Linked DNA regions of Daphnia pulex. The protein of the gene in region 2 binds, or shares a complex with, the protein of the main gene of each other region. Links are inferred from orthologs where the notes say so. Each region holds a gene or a part of one and is shown on either strand. Other genes may lie near its edges.

The links.
Region 1: condensin complex subunit 1-like (region 2) and condensin complex subunit 3-like share a complex: the UniProt entries of both Homo sapiens proteins name them as parts of the condensin complex. The link is inferred for Daphnia pulex from reciprocal best matches to the Homo sapiens genes NCAPD2 and NCAPG.

The regions. Positions count from the first base shown.
Region 1 is NC_060020.1:456,375-467,415, reverse strand, and holds condensin complex subunit 3-like, read right to left. Parts: upstream 9,736-11,041; 5' UTR 9,242-9,735; coding exon 8,708-9,241; intron 8,645-8,707; coding exon 8,484-8,644; intron 8,418-8,483; coding exon 7,967-8,417; intron 7,901-7,966; coding exon 7,610-7,900; intron 7,548-7,609; coding exon 7,305-7,547; intron 7,239-7,304; coding exon 6,993-7,238; intron 6,929-6,992; coding exon 6,804-6,928; intron 6,734-6,803; coding exon 6,481-6,733; intron 6,399-6,480; coding exon 5,836-6,398; intron 5,780-5,835; coding exon of another isoform or gene 5,775-5,779; coding exon 5,354-5,774; 3' UTR 5,240-5,353; downstream 1-5,239. Other genes in the region: solute carrier family 25 member 36-A-like, read left to right, coding at 371-411, 1,032-1,325, 1,505-1,683, 2,467-2,582, 2,669-3,072, 3,134-3,170; mitochondrial 2-oxoglutarate/malate carrier protein-like, read right to left, coding at 3,629-3,860, 3,932-4,031, 4,094-4,183, 4,270-4,393, 4,457-4,547, 4,615-4,851, 4,918-4,973; uncharacterized protein LOC124193140, read right to left, coding at 10,969-11,041. UniProt on the Homo sapiens protein: Regulatory subunit of the condensin complex, a complex required for conversion of interphase chromatin into mitotic-like condense chromosomes.
Region 2 is NC_060021.1:6,806,147-6,817,342, forward strand, and holds the start of condensin complex subunit 1-like, read right to left. Parts: upstream 3,976-11,196; 5' UTR 3,848-3,975; coding exon 3,742-3,847; intron 3,571-3,741; coding exon 3,392-3,570; intron 3,328-3,391; coding exon 3,234-3,327; intron 3,171-3,233; coding exon 3,031-3,170; intron 2,962-3,030; coding exon 2,634-2,961; intron 2,570-2,633; coding exon 2,442-2,569; intron 2,284-2,441; coding exon 2,122-2,283; intron 2,050-2,121; coding exon 1,822-2,049; exon of another isoform or gene 1,764-1,821; coding exon 1,613-1,763; exon of another isoform or gene 1,525-1,612; coding exon 1,511-1,524; exon of another isoform or gene 1,317-1,510; coding exon of another isoform or gene 1,149-1,316; intron 1,089-1,148; coding exon of another isoform or gene 774-1,088; intron 715-773; coding exon of another isoform or gene 700-714; exon of another isoform or gene 441-699; intron 383-440; exon of another isoform or gene 299-382; coding exon of another isoform or gene 143-298; exon of another isoform or gene 80-142; intron 1-79. Other genes in the region: uncharacterized protein LOC124193881, read left to right, coding at 143-298, 4,273-4,390, 4,449-4,510, 4,579-4,722, 4,782-5,096, 5,157-5,291; uncharacterized protein LOC124193883, read left to right, coding at 700-714, 774-1,088, 1,149-1,316; 60S ribosomal export protein NMD3-like, read right to left, coding at 5,562-5,717, 5,781-6,018, 6,079-6,188, 6,247-6,398, 6,459-6,861, 6,930-7,215, 7,278-7,412, 7,475-7,524. UniProt on the Homo sapiens protein: Regulatory subunit of the condensin complex, a complex required for conversion of interphase chromatin into mitotic-like condense chromosomes.

The DNA.
Region 1 (11,041 bases), on a different chromosome or scaffold from region 2:
TCTGCCCGAGGGCTCTTGTTTGATCGATCTGAAAAGCCGATAAACAAACAAGCGTGTTTGTGGGAATTGCGTCGTTGGGTTTTCCATCACGCGGCGCTAGGTGGCTCTGTCGTAGCTTAGATACCCAATAGCGAACGAGCCATTGGTTCGCCGTCCCCTACCCCCATTTCCCTTACCTATCCCAGTCAGATCAGCAGCAGGCCAGCAGCTGAAAACGAACTCGTGTTGGATTTTGTTTTATTCTTCCGTCATCTTTAGAGCAAACTACACTTATGTTTACAATTCGGCCAATCCGGTTGGTCTTGGTAAACATTTAACTATACAAAAATATTACTTTCATCTTAATTGATGTGCAATTGCATTACGTGTTATGTCGAATGCAGATACATTCATCCATCTCTTCGCTGGCGGGTAAGATTTTTTTCGTTTTCTTCGTTTCGGTTCATTTTTCGTCTTCTTCCCCCCACTAGGCAGAAACCATTTTGGCCATTACGCCGAACACACCGACATCCCTTCCTTTAGTCTTAGTCAGAAGGGAGGTAGGGATTAAAATTTTCAAACTACATACTACATTATGTTGCCTTGGGTTTTAACTTGGGTGAGGGAGATGGTTTTCATTTAACCTATAAAACCTATCTTACCTGCATCAGTTATCTTGCCCAGTGTACCCTTCTCGTTATCTTCCATTTCAGTTTCCCTCCTAAGTTGGTCCACTCCACAACTAGAATTTAAGCAGTGAGGGATGTTTGTGCATTCCAAAATAATGGCTTTCTTCTGAGCCAGATGTTGTAATTTGAATCCTAGTGTGTTTGCCATCGAACTCTAAAATATACGTACTTCAGTTTTCAAATCCTTGCAGCAACTTTTCCCTTTGAAAGTTGCAGGCTACTAAACCATTCCAAAGACAAGTTGGCATTTGTTTGAAGTTAGTATTTTAAGAGGCGACATTTTTGGCTAGCCCAACGCACTCGTTGACCCATTCTCGTTGCTAGGACTCAATTTTTTAATGTTTCTTTTCTGTGACGACGTAGGGTTGGTGGTACTGTGGGAGCCATAGTGACGTGCCCACTTGAAGTTATCAAGACTCGCCTGCAATCGTCTTCCTCTGAAATCCACTACAGTGCAGTTCGCTCCCTGCGAACAGCTTCGTCCAACGCAGGATGCAGCGCCAATCACATGTATTTCACTCCAGAAATGAACTGGAACGTTTATTATCATCACCAACAATGCTCGTCCGTCAATTCGAGGTTGGCTGTGTTTCCTGAAGCCGTCCTCCCTTGGCCGGCGTCTTCCGCCCAACCCAAAGGAGCCCTTTCTTGTTTTCGGTAAGAAAAGGGAATTCTATGAAACAAACGGAATATTTAATCCTTTAATTGACTTGTTTGTTTGCTCTACATATATACATTTAAACGATAATAAAAACTAGAACTATAAAAAGGAGATAAGGTGTGGATTTCGATAAGAACAACGGTTAATTGATCAAATTCTTTGCCTTCTCACGTAGGCACCTGATCGACCAAGAAGGATGCCGGGCGCTATTCAAAGGTTTGGGACCAAACCTGATTGGAGTGGCCCCCACTAGAGCCCTATATTTTTGCACCTATTCAACGGCCAAACGAAAATTCAACCAGATCATGACTCCAGATTCTCACTTGGTCCATATGCTCTCGGCTGGCTCTGCAGGTAAATATGTCCCTCACGTCTAGTTGCGCAAAATTTCTCTTTTCTGTCCAGTCGAGGCCGGTTTTTCGCCCATATCGCTTTAGTTAGACATAGAAGGACGTCCTTGTATTAGTTGTTCTCTTCCCTTTTAGTTGTCACTTTTTAACGCAATAACCAACTTGGCATTTAGCCCAAAATTCACTTCTTGCTGGCAGTCGGGAGGGGGGTTAAAACTTGCTTTAAAATGACGTTGCACAAATTATATATTCCTTTTAAAAAGAATGCATGGAAGAGAAGACAAAGTCATTAGGAAGAATGTATTAGCTGATTCACCCTGGGTTTTCTATGTGAAAATAATTGAATTAATTTCGTATGCGGGTCAGCATCAAAGGGTGAAAAAACCAGACTTGTCCGGTTGGTTGGCTCAGCCGTCTTTTTTTCTCTCTCCACTTACCTACGTGATTCACGTAACGAATGCCCAGTTGCCGTTTCTCTCTCTCCCCCCTCCTTGGAAGAATGGTCTGGTGTATTTTTAAAAACGGAACACGTGCACAAGCCGTGCTCCTGCCCAAGGTTCGCCCAGACTTTGAATAAGTTAACAAAATCCACTCCGGGCGGGAAGGAGGGCATTATTACGTAGTCTACCTATAGAGCCCGTTTCTAACATTCGCGGATATGGCGCATTTTCCCGTTTCGTCCTTGGGACGGTTAAGGAACTCGTTGTGGCCTACGTAGTACGTCATTCGCAAATTGAACAGATCCATAAATTAATCGTTTTTTATTAACTTCTTCCTGTTTCCACAGGATTTGTGTCGTGCACTTTAACCAATCCAATTTGGTTCGTCAAGACACGTCTGCAGCTCAATCGCAATCAAAACGTCACAGCTTGGCAGTGCATTTCCAACATCTATCGTAGTCAGGTAATTTGGAAACCAATTCGTCGTGACGTTACGTAACAGGCTCAGCCAGCGCCACCAATCTAATTTTGGAATTCTTTTTTCTTTAGGGTGTTGTTGGCTTTTACAGAGGAATAACAGCCTCATATTTCGGTATCTCAGAGACCATAATTAAGTTTGTACTTTACGAGTACCTGAAATCGACCCTGCAACAGATGCGGGAAACGCAGACGGACAGTCCACTGGGCAACTACCAAGCCATGGACTACATGCTAGCAGGAGCCATCAGCAAGACGGTGGCTTGTTGTGTGTCCTATCCGCATGAAGTGGTTAGGACCAGGCTGCGTGAAGAGAATTCACGTTACAGGGGATTTTTTCAAACGTTGCACACAGTCTTCCGCGAAGAGGGACATCGAGGGCTCTATCGTGGACTGTCGACGCAGTTGATCCGGCAAATTCCCAACACGGCCATTATGATGACCACATACGAGGCCACAGTTTACGTGCTCAACAGGTAAAAATAATAATTAGAATAATCATAATATTCTTAATAACTAACCGGTTTTCGATTTTAGTTTGGTAAACGAAAAGCGGTACACTGGTTCGGAATAATGAACTGCCGTCGCTGTTTTCAAAAGTCTTCATTCATGTAATCTCCCACCCAAACCCCTTTTTCTTAATCAGCTTTGTCTTTCGCGCAAAATATCGAATTGTGATAGTTATTCTGACTATTTAGATTGTGCCTTTTTTTTTAACTTAAGAAAAAAGAAAAAAAAACGTGTATAGAGCTTGTACAGTATGACTAGTCACTCGTTATTCACTAGTTATTTTGCGCAATCGAATTCATTTGTTAAAGTGTATAAAAGGGTGCTTCCAGCACACACTTGGAGTAATTCTTAATAAAGTTGTCTTACAAAATCGATATGTGTTTTATACCTTTTTATTTGATAACAAAATCCACCTAAATTACATTCACAGTCACCAATTTAACGTGTCGACAACATGGATTGCAGACTAAATATCAGGCTTGATGATTTTCTACCAAAGCTTCTCTCTATTGACAAGACAATTTAAATGCCACCTCCTTTGGCGTCCTTGAGACCGAGAATATTTCGCTTGTAAAACGTATTCATCTGTTCGAGGAAAATAAAGGTGAGAACTGTGTGCGGTCCGATGCGTGCGTAGTACGGCGTGAATCCCTTCCACAAAGCTAGGATTCCTTCGTTGCGTACGACGCGACCCAGTACATCGACTGCGCCCTTGTATTCTGGCTTGCCGTCAATGAACCTCATATTTTGCAGCCTGAATCAATGCCAAAAATGTTATTTTCTCTTATCTTTCGATACTAATCGATGATAATACGACGTAGTTACCTAGTTTTTGCAATGTCGACAGGCATAGAAGCGGCTGTCGTAACTAGACCACTGATCATGGAAGCCCAGAAGTGAAGAATCACGTTTTCACTAAAATAACCTAGAGAAAAAGAGCCGTTTAGTTTTTGCGCTATAAATGTGGGCGTTAAAGACTAGACTGACCAGTTGACATGAGAGATTGTTTAGCTTGAGAATAGGAAGCAAGTTGGGCGGCATTTACCACCATTGCCCGAGCCATCGTTGGGATCGCTCCTACGATCAATTCAAAGGAGATTTAAAAGGAAATTCAAAAAGGAAGAGAAATTTCCAAGGAAATTTCCAAAGGAAATTGCAAAAACCTCTCCAGAGAGTGACCAATCCTTCCTCCCTGACCATCCGAACCAACGCGTCACCGACGTGCTTGTAATTCCTTCTGTCTGCCTCTGGCAGTCTTCCATCTGCTGTCATACGAATAAGGGCAACCTATAATAAGTAATGAATACCGGTAACTTTTTGTTACCATGTGCCCTTTTTCACTAAAATTACCTCAGCTGGGGTTCCCACAAATGCTCCTACAACTCCAGCAGCCATTCCAAGCACAGCTTTTGTTGCAAAACCTGGTGGTTTTCCATCAGGACTAGAAATAAAAAAACAATATAGATGTATTGAACTATAACATTTGTCAAGGTCACAGTCCTACTAACCCACTCATGGTGTCAAACAGCCATGTGTAAATTCCCAGCCTAGTTGTTGTATAGGTTGCCTGTCTCAGAAGGCCTGCAGATAAACCAGAATACATGCCAGAGATACCCTCTTTCATCATGATGGATCTAATTGCGTGCAAAGTGTTCCTGTGTTCTTTGGCTTTGCCACCTTCACCGCTCAACTGCATTCTGTTCTTAATAAGATCCATAGGTTGGACAAACAATGTGGCAGCCATTCTAAAATTGACAAAATCCTTGTTAATAAAACTTATATATAAATAAAGTAAGACTGTAACAACTTACCCTGACAAACCTCCAATAGCAAACCTAACTGGTTTTGGCATTTGAGCTTCACCCATTTTAAATCTAATGGGATATACTTGTTTAAAACTTAAACAAACCCTCAGGAATGACGAATAAACTATTTAAACACGTACTCCAGTCTGCTCTCAAAACAAGACACCGGAGACCGTAGCCTACAGAGACAGACGAGTGATCTGTGATCAAAAATCCAGAAGCGATCGTTGATCAAGACATCTACCGGCATATCACAGTATGATATTTGAATTTCACAATGTCACACAATGTCACAAATGAGTTATTTTTCTAGTGAAACATTCTGGAATTGCTCAAGTGACCGAAATTTATTTGTATTAATATCTCTTACAGGAAAGTAAGTAAAATTGTAAAGGAGAAAAAAAAAGATGATAGAAAAATGAAGAAAAAAAAATTTGTTTTATCAACGCTTCCTGGTTGATCTTGCCGACTTTTTAGTATTTTTATTTGGAGGTGGGGTCGGAGGTATAACATCTTCATCCTCGTCGGAACTAGAAATCACGGCTGGTCTCGTCGTTCGTGTTCTGCGCAGAGGTGGGGAAGGAGTTGTTTGTTCCCCACCGTCCTCGTCGACACTGGAAACCACAACTGATCTCGTTGATCGTATTCTACGCCGAGGTGGGGAAGGAGGTGTTCGGTCCCCATCGTCAACGGGAACACTGTCCTCGTCGACACTGGAAACAACGACTGATCTAGTCGATCGTGTTCTACGACGAGGTAAGGAAGGAGGAGGTGTTGTTCGTTCCTCAGCGACAACGGAAACGCTGCGTGGAGCCTGTCGTCGAGTTCTTGAAGGTACAGTTTTCTCGCTGTTTGTGGTCGAACTAAACGAACGAAAATTTGATGAAAATAACACGTAGAAAGCGAAATTAAATATGTAATCACCTTAAATCCATTTGTTCAATAACAACCTCATCCATTTGTTCAATAACAACCTCGGGTGATTTTTCACGAGGTTTTTCCTTTTGAGTGCTTGTCTTTTCTGGGCTGAAGAAAACATCGGAACTTTGGGAGACATCGACGTCGCTACTAGTATCCATTAAAAGAGTCGCTGCATGTTTACTTCCTAATTTTCTTGTTCTTGGCTTATTGATGGGAGGAGATGGGGGAGCAATAACAGGTTCAACTTCCATATCGGAATCGTTTTCAGTAGCAGACTTGGCCGAGTCCGCATTAGCCGTCAAATGCTTTTCTACGATAGATTCAAATTGCTCAATCATTCTGATGGAACCCTTCTCTCTGAAATTTCGAAGCATTTTCCGGATAAGAGTGTGCAAGTCTTTAGTGTTTGACGGATTGGAGAACGACATGTTCAACTGCAACAAGGCCTTGAGGTAGACTTTACTTTCGTTCGTATCAGGAGATCGCATCGATTCAGTACAAAGTTTCATAGCGAGTTGATCGTGGATGGTGTGATCGACCTCAGGCTTGGCGGCTAATAAACTTTCCTAAATAGCAAATATAACAAAATTAGGTTACTTGTAATTAAGATATTTGTAATTCATGTTAAGGCTTGTAACATTAAGTTACCTGTGTCAAGTCGACAAAGAATTTGACGATCATGGAAATGTCTATCTCCGCCAAAGGAGAAGTACACGGGGCCTTTTGAATGGTCTTGATAGTCGGTACGAAAGCCGCCTCCAATTGCTGTTGGTTTGCAATATCCATGGAAGCAAAGAAAGGAAAAAAGACGTGGAGGACTTGACGCAGACGAACGTTTTCATCCGTCAGCGGGTGGAACAGGAAAATGACCAAGCGCGAAAGAATCATGGACGATTCAATTCTACATGTCACATTTAAGTTATTAATACAACGAAAAGGAAAAATTTTACTGACATTTCAAAAATACATACCGGGAAGCAATCAATAGTTTAGCGAAACCCTCGACAGCAATTGTTTGAACATCTGCATCTTCACTATCCAACAGATCAGTCAGCACTGTAGCTAGAGATGTACCACTCTCTTGGTCCTCAAAAGTCTGAAATGAATCATGTATGATTTAAGTTTCTTGATGAATAAAATAAGAGTAATGCATGACTCACGGAAAGACCAAATAATTGAACGAGATCAAAGAGAACTTTGGCTGTTGTGATCTGAAGGATTTGGTGATCCATCTGAACTGCTTGTACAAACAAGAGCAAACGTTGTTGGGCCAGTTCCAAGTCGCAAGTACACAGGCAACCCAAAGCTTCGAAAGCGGCATTTCGGACAGCTGGATCGATTCTCTCGACGCAAGGCAAGATCAGAGACATTAAAAGTTGGTCCAATTCTTTCGTCAATTTAAGCATCTAATAAAAAAGAATCATTACTAACCAGCAATGTTACTGATTTTTAAAAATAAGAATGAAATATACCGGCGAATTTTTTAGCAGCTCGCAAACGGTGCTGAGACACTTTAGTAGTGTTAAGGGATCATCTCTCTCTTCGCGGAACACTTCAACGTCATGAGTGGTGGGCCGACTGCACAACTCGCTTAGTTTCGTCTCCAAAACGACCATCTTTTGTTGAATCTCTTGGGCACCAAGAAAGTTTTGTTTGTCAATGGCCTCCTGCAATTCTTCCTTTAATTCGTTCACCTGGACTCGGCATTGAGCAATCTATTCAGAAATAATAATGAATCAAAAAATGAATTTCTTTTGGATCCAATAAGCCAGTTCACCTCTAATTTGTTTCTTCGCTGCTGATCTTCTGGAATGAGTACTTCCGCCTGAGTTAGTGGCTCTCGCAGCTCTGAAATGACCTCAAGCAATTTGGCGATGCGAACATCCAAATTGGGCTCAATCAGACTAATACACTTGACCATGGTACGAGTCAATGCTGGGCTAGTCTTTTCGTGTTGTAAAAGATCGCAGAGATCGCGTCGCAAGTTCAAGCGACCCGCTTCATCCGCAAGGTCAAAGTGTTGTGCCATCTCCAATAAGTTGGCAACGATAAATTCCATACTCAATACCTAATGGCATACATAATGACATGTTTTAACGAAAGAATACAATTTTAGGAAATACAATGTTTTTACCTCCATGTCGTCGGTTTCGGTAAGCCTTGCCAAAACGAAAATTTTCAAATATTTCCCAAACGCTGTCATTTCTGGCATAATGGTTTCAAGAGCATCTGCTGCATGAACTCCCTCGTTTCGCAGGAAAGAAACGGCCGTGCACCAATAAAGAGCCACTTCTGGCTTTAACGCTTCGATACTAACCAGATTTTCTTCACCAATAGGCAACTGAGATGTTATCTCCTTGTAGTTGAGCGTTTTCAACCAAACTTGCAAGACTTGAACAGCAGTATCGCTGCAGCCTTCCACATCAAGACCACGCAGGAAATTGAAGATGGAGCCTTCCATGGCGTTGATCCAGGCAGGGATAAGTTTGTCCTGCACCATGGTCGTCACAGCAGCTGATTTGTCGTTGAGTCCGAGGTTCAAAATTGTCACACGATTGGCAATTGATAATGTTCGGACATGAACTCTAAAAATGAAAATAAATGAAGATAAAAATAGACAGCATGCAATTATTGTTTATTCTTCCACATACCTCTCACTAATGAAGATATAGGCCTGCCTGCGAACAAGGTCTTTGACGTCACGCAGCCTGACCAAAACGAATTCGAGCGTAAAATAATTGCATCCAAGTGCCTTAAGTACAGCTCGACGTACTTCGGGATGAGGATCTCTTTCCAAATGGAAAACTAATGCCTGTACAAGGGTGAAACATTTTTTAAATACAGAAAAGTAAAAACATTTTTAACGCCAAGTTACCTTAATAACTGGACATTCTTTGTTGGTAGGATCTTGCAGGCGCTGTAAGGCAATGACAGCCTGGACCCGAACTGAGGCAATTCTGTCTTGAATTCTTTCAAGCATGGCATCATAAATTTTTTCAAAAAGTTCTGCGCTGATGCAAGCAGACTCATTCAACTCTTCTAGCATTCTATTAATGAACTGGCACACTCTAAATCGAACAGCCTGGCTCTTGACATTGTGATGGGACAAAAGAAAATCAAAAAGTTTTTCATAGAAAGGGTGGCATTCACCATCTTCATCTTCTGGATCTTTTTCCAGTTCAAACGATGTTGCAAATTTGGCTGCAAAATCTAAACAAAAGTTAACAGCAGTCTCCCTTTCTCCATGAATCAAGAGACACTTGAAGCATTTAATAAAATGTTGATTAAAAGAATCTACATCTTCAATTTGGTCATAGACTTTTCTAAGGTTCTTTACTAGTTTGGGGTGATCAGCAATGGAATGTTGGCTTTTGGTAAATATCTCTTCAATGTGTTTGTTGCCTACCATTTTACTCAGCCTGCCTTGGGCTTACAATATTTGTACCAAGTTCAAAACTGATGTCAGGAAGCGGATCTTTCCAATATTGGTAAGTATTGAAACTATTAGCGATCTCTTCTTTGCCCTTATCTGTTTCTGTTTCAATGCGAGGTTCCTTGCTGGGAGGTATCGTGCACTTGTCAACCTCCGATTTCCGCTTCGACAAATTTTCTTTCAATTCCAATGATTTTGTAGAAAGCATTGGGAAAATTATAGAGCAATTCAAAAATCAGTCTTCTAATTATCTGAAATCACAAAATTTTCTGAAAATAACGAGAGTACGACGTTTCTCAACGGCCGCTTAAACTTTTTTGAAGCGGAGAGACGATGCGACGTTGACGAGTAAGACGAAATAAAACAAGGTGACAGGTTTTTTTTTAATATCAGAGCTATAGATACCTGGTCAGTTCATGGCTGTGTTGGCTTCCCTATCCCGGTTTCAGGGTAAACGTAAGCCGATTGGGAAAAATGGATGAGCGCCTCTAGTGAGTGTGTCAGCTACTACGTGAAGCCAGCCAATCAGGAAGGGTCTATGAAAAACTCATTGGCCAATCACAGCTTACTTTTCTACAAGAAGTGAAAAACAATAATAAAAGGTTTTCCATAATAAAAAGGTAGAAATATCCAACTGTCAAACCTCTAAGTTTCAAGCCGTATTCGATTTTGAATAGCCGGTTGTTTTCGCACAATCCTAAATTAATTTGCCGTAATTTATAAAATGTTGTACTATTTTCAATGAATGTTTTTACTTTCCAACTATTAGGCTCGTAACTTCAGCACCAGTTCATCATCCCAGCAGTTGGTGAAGGTAAATCATGTGAGTGTGGTACAGGTACATTTTAACCTAATTGTGTAATTGTTATAGGCTCCAGTCCAAGTTTTTGGGTTGTATGGTCGCTATGCCTCAGCACTCTACTCTGCTGCTTCCAAACAGAAATCTTTGGACAAAGTTGAAAGCGAGTTGAAGGACTTTCATGCAACTATCGCCAAAGATTCTCGTTTGGCAGAATTCATTGCCAACCCCACTTTGAAGAGATCACTTAAGAAAGATGCTCTTATTTCAGTTGCCAAGAAATTGAAAATGAGTGCTGTTACAGGCAACTTCCTTGGTAAGTTTTTATTTTCTATTGGTTTTCACTTTATTCTAATTGTTATTCATATGGCTATGATTACAGAACTCCTTGCTGAGAATGGAAGACTTAACAAATTGGATGTTGTCACTGGCCATTTCTTTAACATGATGGCTGCATTCAGAGGTTAAGTTGTATGTGAGGTCACCTCAGCCAAGGTAAAATATAAATCTAAAAAAAATTAAACAATTACATGTTTAAAAAAATCTATTCTTATATCAAGGCCTTGGATGCTGCTACATTGAAAGAGGTTACTGCCGCTCTTTCTGGATTCTTGCAGAAGCCAGAAAGGACAGTCTCAAGATTTCAACCAAGGTGGATCCCTCCATTGTTGGTGGACTTGTAGTTGTCCTTGGAGATCGCTACATCGACATGAGTTTGGCATCAAAGATTGAACGTTACACCACTCTCCTTAAACAACCCGTCTAGAAATTTAAGTTGGCTGCGTTATAGTGGGAAACAAATATGTACATCAAATGGCAAAGATATGATGTAGTGGATATGAAAAATAAAAGAAATCGTATCACGAGGTTCTCCTTGTATGCAAACAAAATTGTCATTGTTATTTCAAACACCACATTCAGCTAAAGACAATAATTTGTGCACATTATATCTGGTTGAAACATTTGTCTCTTCTTGG
Region 2 (11,196 bases):
ATATTTGGATTGAACAACATTGCCATTCTCTCAAAGATGCCAAGCAGACGACTGCTAATGGCCAACCAGGCAATGCTGTATTTTTGTTCAAATTGTTGACAGTTTGAAAGTAGACGAGAATTTCTCGTTGTTTTTTTAGAAAATGTCAACGATTGAAGAGATCATATCAGAAATTATTAATGTTCTTCAGTCAGTTAATTGTCCACTAATCGTCCGAACTGATGATTGGTGGATTGAGGAACTTTTGTTTACACCAGGGAAACCACGAAAGGATTTAATTCTTTGGATAACTTCGAAGGCAATCAATTAAAATTGCAAGATCTTGATTCCACAGCCACTTCTAGTTCTTCCAGCAATATTAAATTGCCAGAGAGTGATGAAGGTGATTTTATTAATATATTTTTTGTTAGTCTGAATTAATACATGTTGTCCTTCCAAAGCTATTCTAGGATTTTGGTGTGGTGCAAATGTTTGCAGTAAAAAAGACCTACCCTTTATAAAGGAAAGTTTTATTTATAGTTTTAAATGATCTGCTGATCTTGTAAGAAATTAAAAAAATGTTATCAATAGGGTGACATACCAAAGTATGATCAAATAAAGTTTTGGAATTGTTTGATCAAACCCCTTCAAATTCTTGCAAAATCACATGTTAATACAAATATTGCCTTTGGTGGTGGTTCTTTGAGCAACCTTGTCTCCATGGAAAACTTCTTGGTAATGAGAAAATTGTACTCTATATTATTACTCTTAAAGTCTCTATATTAAAATATTAGGATGCTTTTAGCATGAAGGCCACTTTGTTGTCAGCTGATGTACAAAGTGAGATTAAGCAAATACATGAAATGAAAGGCAGAGACCAATTAACAAAGAAACAGATTGTACTGAGGAAAAATCTGCAAAATGACAATTTGCTCATCCCTAACTTCACTAAACAAGCTAAAAGATTGAAAACTGCTGCTGATCAATTTAATGATATTTTCAACTCTGATTTAAAAATCTATCTTCCCAAAAGTGGATCCTCTGCTCCACTTTTAGAATTTGGAGAAGAAATAAATAATATCAGAACCAAGGTCACTGCTTGGAAAAAGGTAAATATGCCTTCTAAATATTTGTTTTAATAATTAACTTTACACACAAATTTAATATAGGGTGCAGATTCTCTACTGGAATTACAACTAAGTACTACCTCTGAGACTAATTTGAAGAAATCAATAATTGAACGGCATTCTTACGAAAGGTGCCAGTCTTATCATTTTAACGACCGGTGGTCATGGTTAAAACTTTGTGTTGCAAGTTTAATGGGATGGCGTGCTTAAGGCTCAGCTTGTGCCATAGCTGAAGCGTTTTACTTCTAATGAAAGAATGAACGTCATGCAAGTGTTCCAGAAGAGGATCCAATAATTGATCACGCAGTTCACCCATCCTCTCGTTTAAATCCTCTCCACTTAGTTCCTAAATACCAATTAATATGTAAGGCGATAAAAAAGAGAAAATCAAAAGGAATTCATACCTCCATGACAATCTCTGCAAATATAGAGAGCGCACTATTACGCTAATAGAAACATACATTCTTTCACGTAAAGAAATAATTATTTTTCCAAATTTAACAGACCACTCTCGCTAGGCCAGCGCTTGTGAGATGGAGAATACAAGCAAAGCAGTGCCAATATGTAAACGTTCCACATTCCGTACACTCCAGTGAAGAAAGCAGACGTATATTCCAAATTGATGTCCTCATCCCATTTCCACTTGCCTTCCGATACCTGAGACAGTAATGGTGTTAAAGAGCTCTGCTCATACGATGCACTTAAAATAACTTACTTGACCAAGAATGAATCCAATGACGGTCATAGCAGCACAAAGTAGAGTGGCCAGCATAAGAAACTTGAATCTGTAAATGACACCTTCATAGAAATGTCTGCGAGCGGACGCCATTGCAGGCAACGCCTGACGCTTAGCACTGATATTGCGGAACACACGATAAATAATATATGACAAGAAAAGAAAGTAAACTCCAGCAGCGATTCCAGCAATAATAACAAAGCTCAGCTATAAAACAAACAAAATTGACGAATGAAGAAACAAAATGTCAAGCAAAGCTGTAACCAATTAATAATTTACCGCGATTTGTGTCCCAATTTCATTCGCCCAAATAGAATAGAACGGATTCCTAAGTTGGATGCCTCTTTCGCACATGTCAAAGATGAACATGGACAAACAACCAACTCCAACACAGCTAAGCTGTTTCCAATAACCTCTTAGTCCTTTTCTTTCAGTATCATCCTACATGTTTAACATATTAACATAAATTTGAAAACAAATGTCATAAAACAAATATACCTAATTCTAAAATGTTGGATTTTGTGTGGATGTTAGAAATCAATTAGAGCATTAGTTGAGTTATATGCTAGTAAAGCGAATGAAAAAAATTAACACATTACCACGAGATGTTCTCCGGCGAAAACAAGCCAGAAAGATAATAGCATCGAGTAAAAAATACCCTGTTTCATATCTCCCAAAAGAAGCATGAAAGGCATTTCAAAGCTCAGGGTTAAGTACTCAAGGGGAACTGTAAAAGAACAACAGAGGAGTCAGCAAAACACATTATTTTATAAAACTTCTGATTAAATTACGATTTAAAGTAGATAAAGCGACGCCAAGAGCCAAGAGCATTGATTCCAATAACGTGGGTTGCCTAGCTAATAACTGAACACGACGCCAAAACCAGATCATGACTCCTACTACCATGGGAAAGAAAATTGTCTTCAAAGACAACCAAACTTTGGTAAAACCACCATTCTGATTAATGACGACAAGCCAAAGATCGGATACAGGACCGAGGCCTCGGTTGTTTTCATATATCATCGGGAATCGCAGATTCAGAAGGTAGTAGTCATGATGTAATGCACCAAGTTCAAACAGTGGTAGAAGAGGGCAATTATAAAGGTAACCATCATCCCACTAAAAAAACGAAAATTACAAAAACTTAATTCGTCATTTCATCCTTCAGAAAAATAAATAAATTATTACTTCAGGAGGTGAACAATCCATAGTTCTGCTTTCAGTTGATGTAGCATACTCCTTCCACTCATCATCAGGATCTCCCTTGTTCCGATAACCAAGCCTGGCTTCAATTGTAACAGGAACTCTGGGTTCCATTAGCTCCCTTTCTATAAAATCAATACTGAAGAAAGGGAACAGAACAAAATATTAAAAATTAAAAAATATTTTACCTTTAAAATAGGTAACATCAATTTGTAAAATTCCAATAAGATTTTGCATCCACCGAGAGTAGTCCAATTCAATTCCTCCACGTGGTAGAGGTAACTACAAAATTAACAGACTTGACACTTAAAACCTTTCAAAATACTCTAAATTTTAGATTACATACCTGGAAAGCAAAAACAACATTTTTATCAGTTATATGTCTCTCCTCTGCTTCAGGCCCATGCAAATCATCAATCTTGTCACAACCACCATTAGGTCTGACATAAAAGAATTTGCTTTTGTTTTGACTATTATCATAGCATTTTGTGGCCAAAACAGACTGAACATTGGATGGTGCTGGAGCTGCAATTGAAATTAAAAGAATGTAGTTACTGATAAATGCCCTTTCCCACATTCAAAAATGTTTACAGGAAAAAGCCAGACCACCACCGAAAACCAGACTTCTCTATTAACGGGGTGCTATTTTAAGAAATGTGAGTCACAAAGGTTCATCTGACAGAAGTTAAGACTTACCGACCAAGCCGCCGAGAAGAAAGCATACTAGAAGACATATAAGGAGGAAAGATATCAACACAATCAACTTTCGATTACTCAGGTTTTCAACCACGGCACCTGCCATTACTAAAAAATGGACTTTCCCGCAGTTAGCTTAATACTACACACGCTGCTCTGTTTTTCACGCCGACTTGATTAAAGCTAGGCGTTTGAACGCGCGTCGAACAAAGTAATGAAATGTAAACAAATGAATATTTGGATTGAACAACATTGCCATTGTCTAAAAGATGCCAAGCAGACGACTGCTAATGGCCAACCAGGCAACGCTGTATTTTTTGTTCAAATTGTTGACAGTTTGAAAGTAGACGAGAATTTCTCGTTGTTTTTTAGAAAATGTCAACGATTGAAGAGAACATATCAGAAATTATTAATGTTCTTCAGTCAGTTAATTGTCCACTAATCGTCCGAACTGATGATTGGTGGATTGAGGAACTCTTGTTTACACCAGGGAAACCACGAAAGGATTTAATTCTTTGGATAACTTCGAAGGCAATCGAAAGTGCGTTGCCTTCTACTTTACATTCAGCACAATTAAAATTGCAAGATCTTGATTCCACAGCTACTTCTAGTTCTTCCAGCAATATTAAATTGCCAGAGAGTGATGAAGGTGATTTTATTAATATATTTTTTGTTAGTCTGAATTAATACATGTTGTCCTTCCAAAGCTATTCTTGGATTTTGGTGTGGTGCAAATGTTTGCAGTAAAAAAGATCTACCCTTTATTAAGGTAAGTTTTATTTGTTGTTTTAAATGGTCTGCTGATCTTGCAAGAAATAAAAATTTTTTGATCAATAGGGTGACATACCGAAATATGATCAAATAAAGTTTTGGAACCGTTTGATCAAGCCCCTTCAAATTCTTGCAAAATCACATATTAATACAAATATTGCCTTTGGTGGTGGTTCTTTGAGCAACCTTGTCTCCATGGAAAACTTCTTGGTAATGAGAAAATTGTACTCTATATTATTACTCATAAAGTCTCTATATTAAAATATTAGGATGCTTTTAGCATGAAGGCCACTTTGTTGTCAGCTGATGTACAAAGTGAGATTAAGCAAATTCATGAAATGAAAGGCAGAGACCAATTTACAAAGAAACAGATTGTACTGAGGAAAAATCTGCAAAATGACAATTTGCTCATCCCTAACTTCACTGAACAAGCAAATAGATTGAAAGCTGCTGCTGATCAATTTAATGATATTTTCAACTCTGATTTAAAAATCTGTCTTCCCAAAAGTGGATCCTCTGCTCCACTTTTAGAATTTGGAGAAGAAATAAATAATATCAGAACCAAGGTCACTGCTTGGAAAAAGGTAAATATGCCTTCTAAATATTTGTTTTAATAATTAACTTTACACACAAATTTAATGTAGGGTGCAGATTCTCTACTGGAATTACAACAAAGTACTACCTCTGAGACTAATTTAAAGAAATCTGAAAATCTCTTGAAACGTACTATTAAGGATAAGTCTTTCCCTCCGTTTCAAAAGCTTTGCGGGTCAGACTGATTTTGTGTAAGGAGAATATTAATATACCGACACCTTGTAAATAAACGTAATTATATACTATCGCTCAGGATAGGATACTGTGTTTAAAAAATAATTAGACTAGTCCAAACAACAATAATTTGCTAACAAAATTTACTTCGTATCAAGATCTATTTTTTAAACCTTAACTACAATAAAAATTCGTTAAAATAAACAATTCCACCAGGAGTAATATGTATTCGCTGTAGACATACAATGCTGTCACCAACTGACCACTTGGTTCTGAAAATTCTACTCAGCTGCCAATACCGAGGCCCCACTTGAAGGATTTTCGTCGCCAATATGTAGATCGTCCAACATTTCCTGTAGAGTAATTTGGGGGATTTCTTCGTCTGGTTCTCCAACCTCAACGGCAAATCCAACTTTCCTTTCGTCTTTGTAGATATTCTAATAAAAATACGCAAGTGTTAGTAATGCAACAATAATTTAAATAGGTAAAAAAGAACATACAATGTTCTGACGGAAAGCTGGATCTTCTTCCAAGTCCTCCAAGAAATCGGTATAATCGCGATTAACGCTTGTAACATCCATTCCATCAGCGTCCAAGTGGCGAAGCTTAAACTTACGCCGACGATTACGAACAGACTTGTCTGCGTACATCTTCTTAACCAACACGACATCTGGCATGTTCTCACGATTCATTTTGTCAAAATTGTCATCATTAACATTACAATTAGCCAGGTCGTATCTAGAAATTGGTAATTGGATAAAAAACTGCTTCAAGGTAAGTAAAGACATGAAAAATTACCCCATAACAATGTCGCCAGGTTTAAGCAAATGTCCAAGATGAGTTCTAGTGTGAATCTCATTCGTTCCCATTTCATTAGGACGACAGACATAAACATCTGCCAATACATGCTGCAAACGATAATTTCATTACTTGCGAGTGATCTAGGAAAATCTTTTTTTCAATTACTTTGAAAGACATGGCGCCCTGTCCAGCAAATGTCCGTTTTTCATGGTCACGAATAACCTCAATATCCATGACAACATACTCTGCCAGCTGTTTGGTTCCGCTAAGGGCATTGAACGGTGTCCGCCAGTAGGTATTCGAATTAACTTCGGCAACTATTAATGTTATAAATAGGTAAACTGAATCTTTAAAAACTTTGAAATTATAAATCGTACTTTGTCCCGAAAATGGATCGATCAGATGGATGGTAGACGACACTCGTTGGACAACACAAATTTGTCCTATTCCTCCAAGCTGGTGAGCCAGTTTGGCTGGCAAACATACAACACAATCTTTGCAAACTGGAACTATTTCAACACTGTAGGTGAATTTGCAGTTGTATGTGTTGCTGTGGATATCTTGAGATATCACGGTCTTTGATACTTGATAACGGCATGGAACAACAGATGTCAAAAAGTCCAACATCTTCTTGGCTTGGCCTTCATTGGCATAGAAAAAATCAATGCCCTCATGAGTTGGCTTAATCCCCAATGTAGATTCATGGGCTTTGTGTTTCAAAATCAACTGTTCCAGATAATAGAAGGTCTTTTTGTGATCAGTTTTCTGTCTGACTTGTACCTAAAACGTAATTTTAATGATAATTAAATCAAATTTTCTATACTTTCCAAATGTTCTTATTCACTTACATTTGCTTTCCAAAAGTCTTTGGCCTCAACTCTATGACAATCTTCACAAAACTGTCCATTAACAACAAAATCAACAATAAACACTTGTTGCAAAACGGCTCCTCCCAAAACTTCAGCCTGAATTGTCAGTTTAACCTTGATTCTCTTAGAATGAGGCTCTGTCCAAACAAACCCAGCATCAATAAGCCTGACTCTGTTGAGTCCCTTAAGTTTAGCCAAACAGAGTCCTAGGAGCTCTCTAGACTCTAGTGAGCACTTAATCCACTGTTCAGGAGGTTGAAGATATCTGAATAACAAGATAGCGATGAAACGAGTTTGAAAAAAAAACAATTTTGTCTACCATCTTACCTCTCACAACCTTTGCAGAAATAGATAACAGCCTGCTTCGGAATACCCTCGGAAATGTCGACTTGGGTACGAAGACATGCAACGCACATATTTGCAGGATTAGGTTCAATGGGAGTTCCACACTGACAGCAGAGACTGCAATATAGAAAACTTGAATTTAATCCAAGAAAAGAGATGCAACATTATTTTGTCATTACATTTTGCAGGCAAGTGAAGATTCTTCAGATCCCTCCTCCATATACTCCATTGTTAGACGATAAACTAGGAATCTTCTAAAAACAAAAAAGTTAACACGTTTAACACGTGTTATCTGGTGTTATATAGGGTAACAGCCTAACAGGTTCTCCAAGACTTGGCGTAAAAAGACTCTGCAGACGACGATTAGCAAAAAAATCGATTATCGAATAAATAAAATATCGATGTAAGCATGGCGCGGCAAAAGTTGCGAAATTTGTTTTATAGGGCGTGATCCAATCCAAAATTTCCAATGGAAAATGATTCAAATTTCTGCTGCTTGTGCCAGGGGTATGGAAGTTAATGGTACGCGTAGAAGCATAGCCTACTCTAGTGATCTGCCGAATCAATTTTGATTCCAATCAAAATTTGATATTATTTTATTTCTCTTTAACCCTGTATTTTTAGAATAGACAAGTTCGGGATGCTGAGTTGCACAACCGCTAAATTAGGATCGTGCGCCAACGGGTCCTTTTAACGTTGTGGGGATAGTAGAAAGCGGGTTTTTTATTATATAAGCATAGAATTACTTATCTAATCTTAGAAATGTTCAGGATTATCGTTGTTTAGAACATTCTGCTTTTTATAGAGTAATTTTAAATGTCTAATTCAGCTTAGTTTACCCATTAAAATTAAAGAAAGTGCAAGCCTGGGATGCTGTTTAGTCTTTTCTTGTGTTTTTTGACAGATCTGTTGACAAGTGACAAGCTCAAACACACAAGAAAAGAAATGTGCTAAGATGTCATGAAAACACAGTTTTTAAAAAACCCATTTTTCCCATAAGCGCTGTGTGAAAAACGAAAAACACTTTTTCGCGCGGAAAAATGGGTTTTACGTTTGATTTTTTTTGCACACTAAATTTATTCATAATTGCACCAAAATTGGTACAATCAAAGAATGAAAGATTTAATACAATTTCATATTTCTTTAAATCTTTTATTTCCACCAAAAAGTGTGTTTACACGGGTTAAAAAAAACAAAAAATTTAAATCACTTTTAAACATGTTCTACACGATATTTTTCACGGAGATTCTGAACAGAACTATATTGTAATGGTATAAACAGTGCTCACGAACGAAATAACGGATAATAATTTGTTTGGGGTCAAATGGCTTATTTGACTATACTATCTGGCTATCTCGCCGTTACCGAGAAGCCCCGACTGCTTGTCTGTGATTTGTCTAGGGCTGTGGCCCGGGAAATGAAAACCCGGGCCACTGTTCGGGCTAAAGAAATAAAACCCAACTCAACTCACCGAGGCATTTTTTGAACGGGGCGGGCGATGGGTCGAACCGCCGGATCCGCGGGCCAACCCAAGATGTGGCGCCATCTATTAGTCAAAAAAAGAATTTCACTGCATCTGCAGCTAGGAAGTGTCAGAAACATCTGGAAGGATAGGATAGCCGTTAAATCCATGCAGAGTTGCAGAGATTGGGGACTACCCCCTTTAAAACCCCACATTTATATGTTAAAAATTTTTTCAACTTGTAACTTTTTTATTATGTGTAGAATTAATTTTAATGCAAGGTTAAGTGAAGAATGCCGAATAATATTTAAAAAAAGTGTTGAAATCGCCATCGCCAAGAAAAAGGGGAAGTTTATCATTTTTACGGTTTAGATTTAGGGAAGGGGTCGATTTTTTAGACGGAGGGTGGGCGGGAAGGTGTCGATTTATTGGGGGTTTGGGGGAGTGAGCGCATTGTATTCTTTCTTCGACCCCCCCCCCCCCTAGATAAAGTGTCGTCTGCGTTTCGTTTTGTTTCAATTCAGTCGTTAAGCGACACCAAGAGGGACCTGCCGCTAAACCGGCACCTCCTGGTTTATGAGCAGTTGGGCACTTGGGCACTTTTCCAAGCTAGCACTGGATGAGGATCATAATGTCGTTGACGAAGTTCGCCCACTAAATCACTTGTCTAAACGATTAGGCAAAAGACGAAAAAAGTTCTTGAAAATATAAAGATTATAAATTAGAAAATCCTGCAAACCTTTTTGGAGAAGACATGCAAAATTGTGTCACAAACTTCGCCAATTAATATTGCTTGTTTTTTCCATAACGGATTCCTTGTAAAATTGGGTTAGACCCCAATGGGAATTTCCGTTATCTCTATCTGCGTACCGTTCAAAACTGCTACTTATTGCTACTTAAATTGTTTGTACCCAAATACTTCGCACTTGCGTCACTCCCACAACAAAACATTTTGAACGCCAATTTTTCCTATTCCGCAACTTCAGCCTCATTTAAAATCACCAGAAGTTTTTCGAGATCTCTTTGCCACAAATCTTCCGGTGATTGGTCCAAGATGAGCTGTTCACATTCACGTATCTCCTTATCTTTGTCGCCAGATAAGCTTGTTTTCCTTCGTTGGTTTGAAAGCGGATCGGCAACTGATGCAGGTGATAATTGGATTTCTTCTCCCAAGTGATAAGAGAACCTGGAGCATAGTTTGACGACGTAGTTCCTCCAAAAAAACATCAAACTTCTAAAAGATAGGAGAAGCGAAAAAAGTTCATGAATAAATTAAATTGAAACTTATTAAATCACGCAAACCTTTTCTGAGTCGACTGTCAGATCTTTAGAACTTATTTCGGCTAGGAATTTGTTTTGATTTATTAGCTTTTCTCTCAAGGCTTTAACTTCGAACGCCAGCTCTTGTTCGACATCTTCTATTTTCTTCAACATCAGAAGATCATCGAGATCTTTACACCATAAGTCTGCCGATGATTTTTCCGAGTAGATTTCATGTTCATTTATCCTGAGATCTCAAACCTTCAGAAGTCTTTCTATTTCTTCGTGGATAAGAGAGGGAGGGGTTTTCAGTAGCGCTAACAAGTATTCAACATCGATGATATGCTGTCCTCCCCTTGGACATCTTCTCCTAAGCCTTATTGCAAAAAGTTTACTTACCAAAAGAAGTTCAGCGTGGATGGAGGGTTGCTTCCCCCTGTGTCCAAACAGAATCGTTTTAGGATGCACAAGGACAGAAACGGTTAGCTCTTGACTTGCTGTGGTCCTGCAGACCTGCACTTCTTCCATATCAGCAACTATATCCCCATTTAACATAAAAAAAATAATCGAGATCTTATTTGCGCACCCAATTGTAAGATGATTATTTTAGAGTAGATCCCATTTTATCTTCAAATATCTTTCTTTTCCTCCGTCGGTTAGTAACGAATGGGCATCTGATACAAATAAAAGTAACTGCTAACTTTGACATTGCCCTGGTAGCAAGCCAAGCAAAAGTCTTTCAGACGTTTTCTGGTTCGAATTCTTGGCTTGGCTGTCCTTCCCTTTGACATATTCTGAGCATTAATGCAGTGAATTCACTTACCAAAATACGTCCAGCGTAGATGGAGGTTTGCTTCCCACCTTAATTTTAACTAAATTTTGAGATTCATACAAAAATTTAGGATGCAGAATGGACAGAAAGGGATCGATTGATGGACGAAAAGGGCTTGAATCACACCTGAAATAGGTTTGAAAAATGTTTAACTTAAGCTTTAGATGAAGACTGATGTGAATTTACTCATTTTGATGTTAATTTACTGTGCCAGAATGCTTTAAATATGAAAGGGAATACTCATGCAGGGAAAAAGCAGTATGGACAGAAAGCGTTAGCTCTCCCTTACGTCCACTCGGTGTATTCATTGGATGGAAAAATGATCATTTAAGCAAATCCTACAAAAA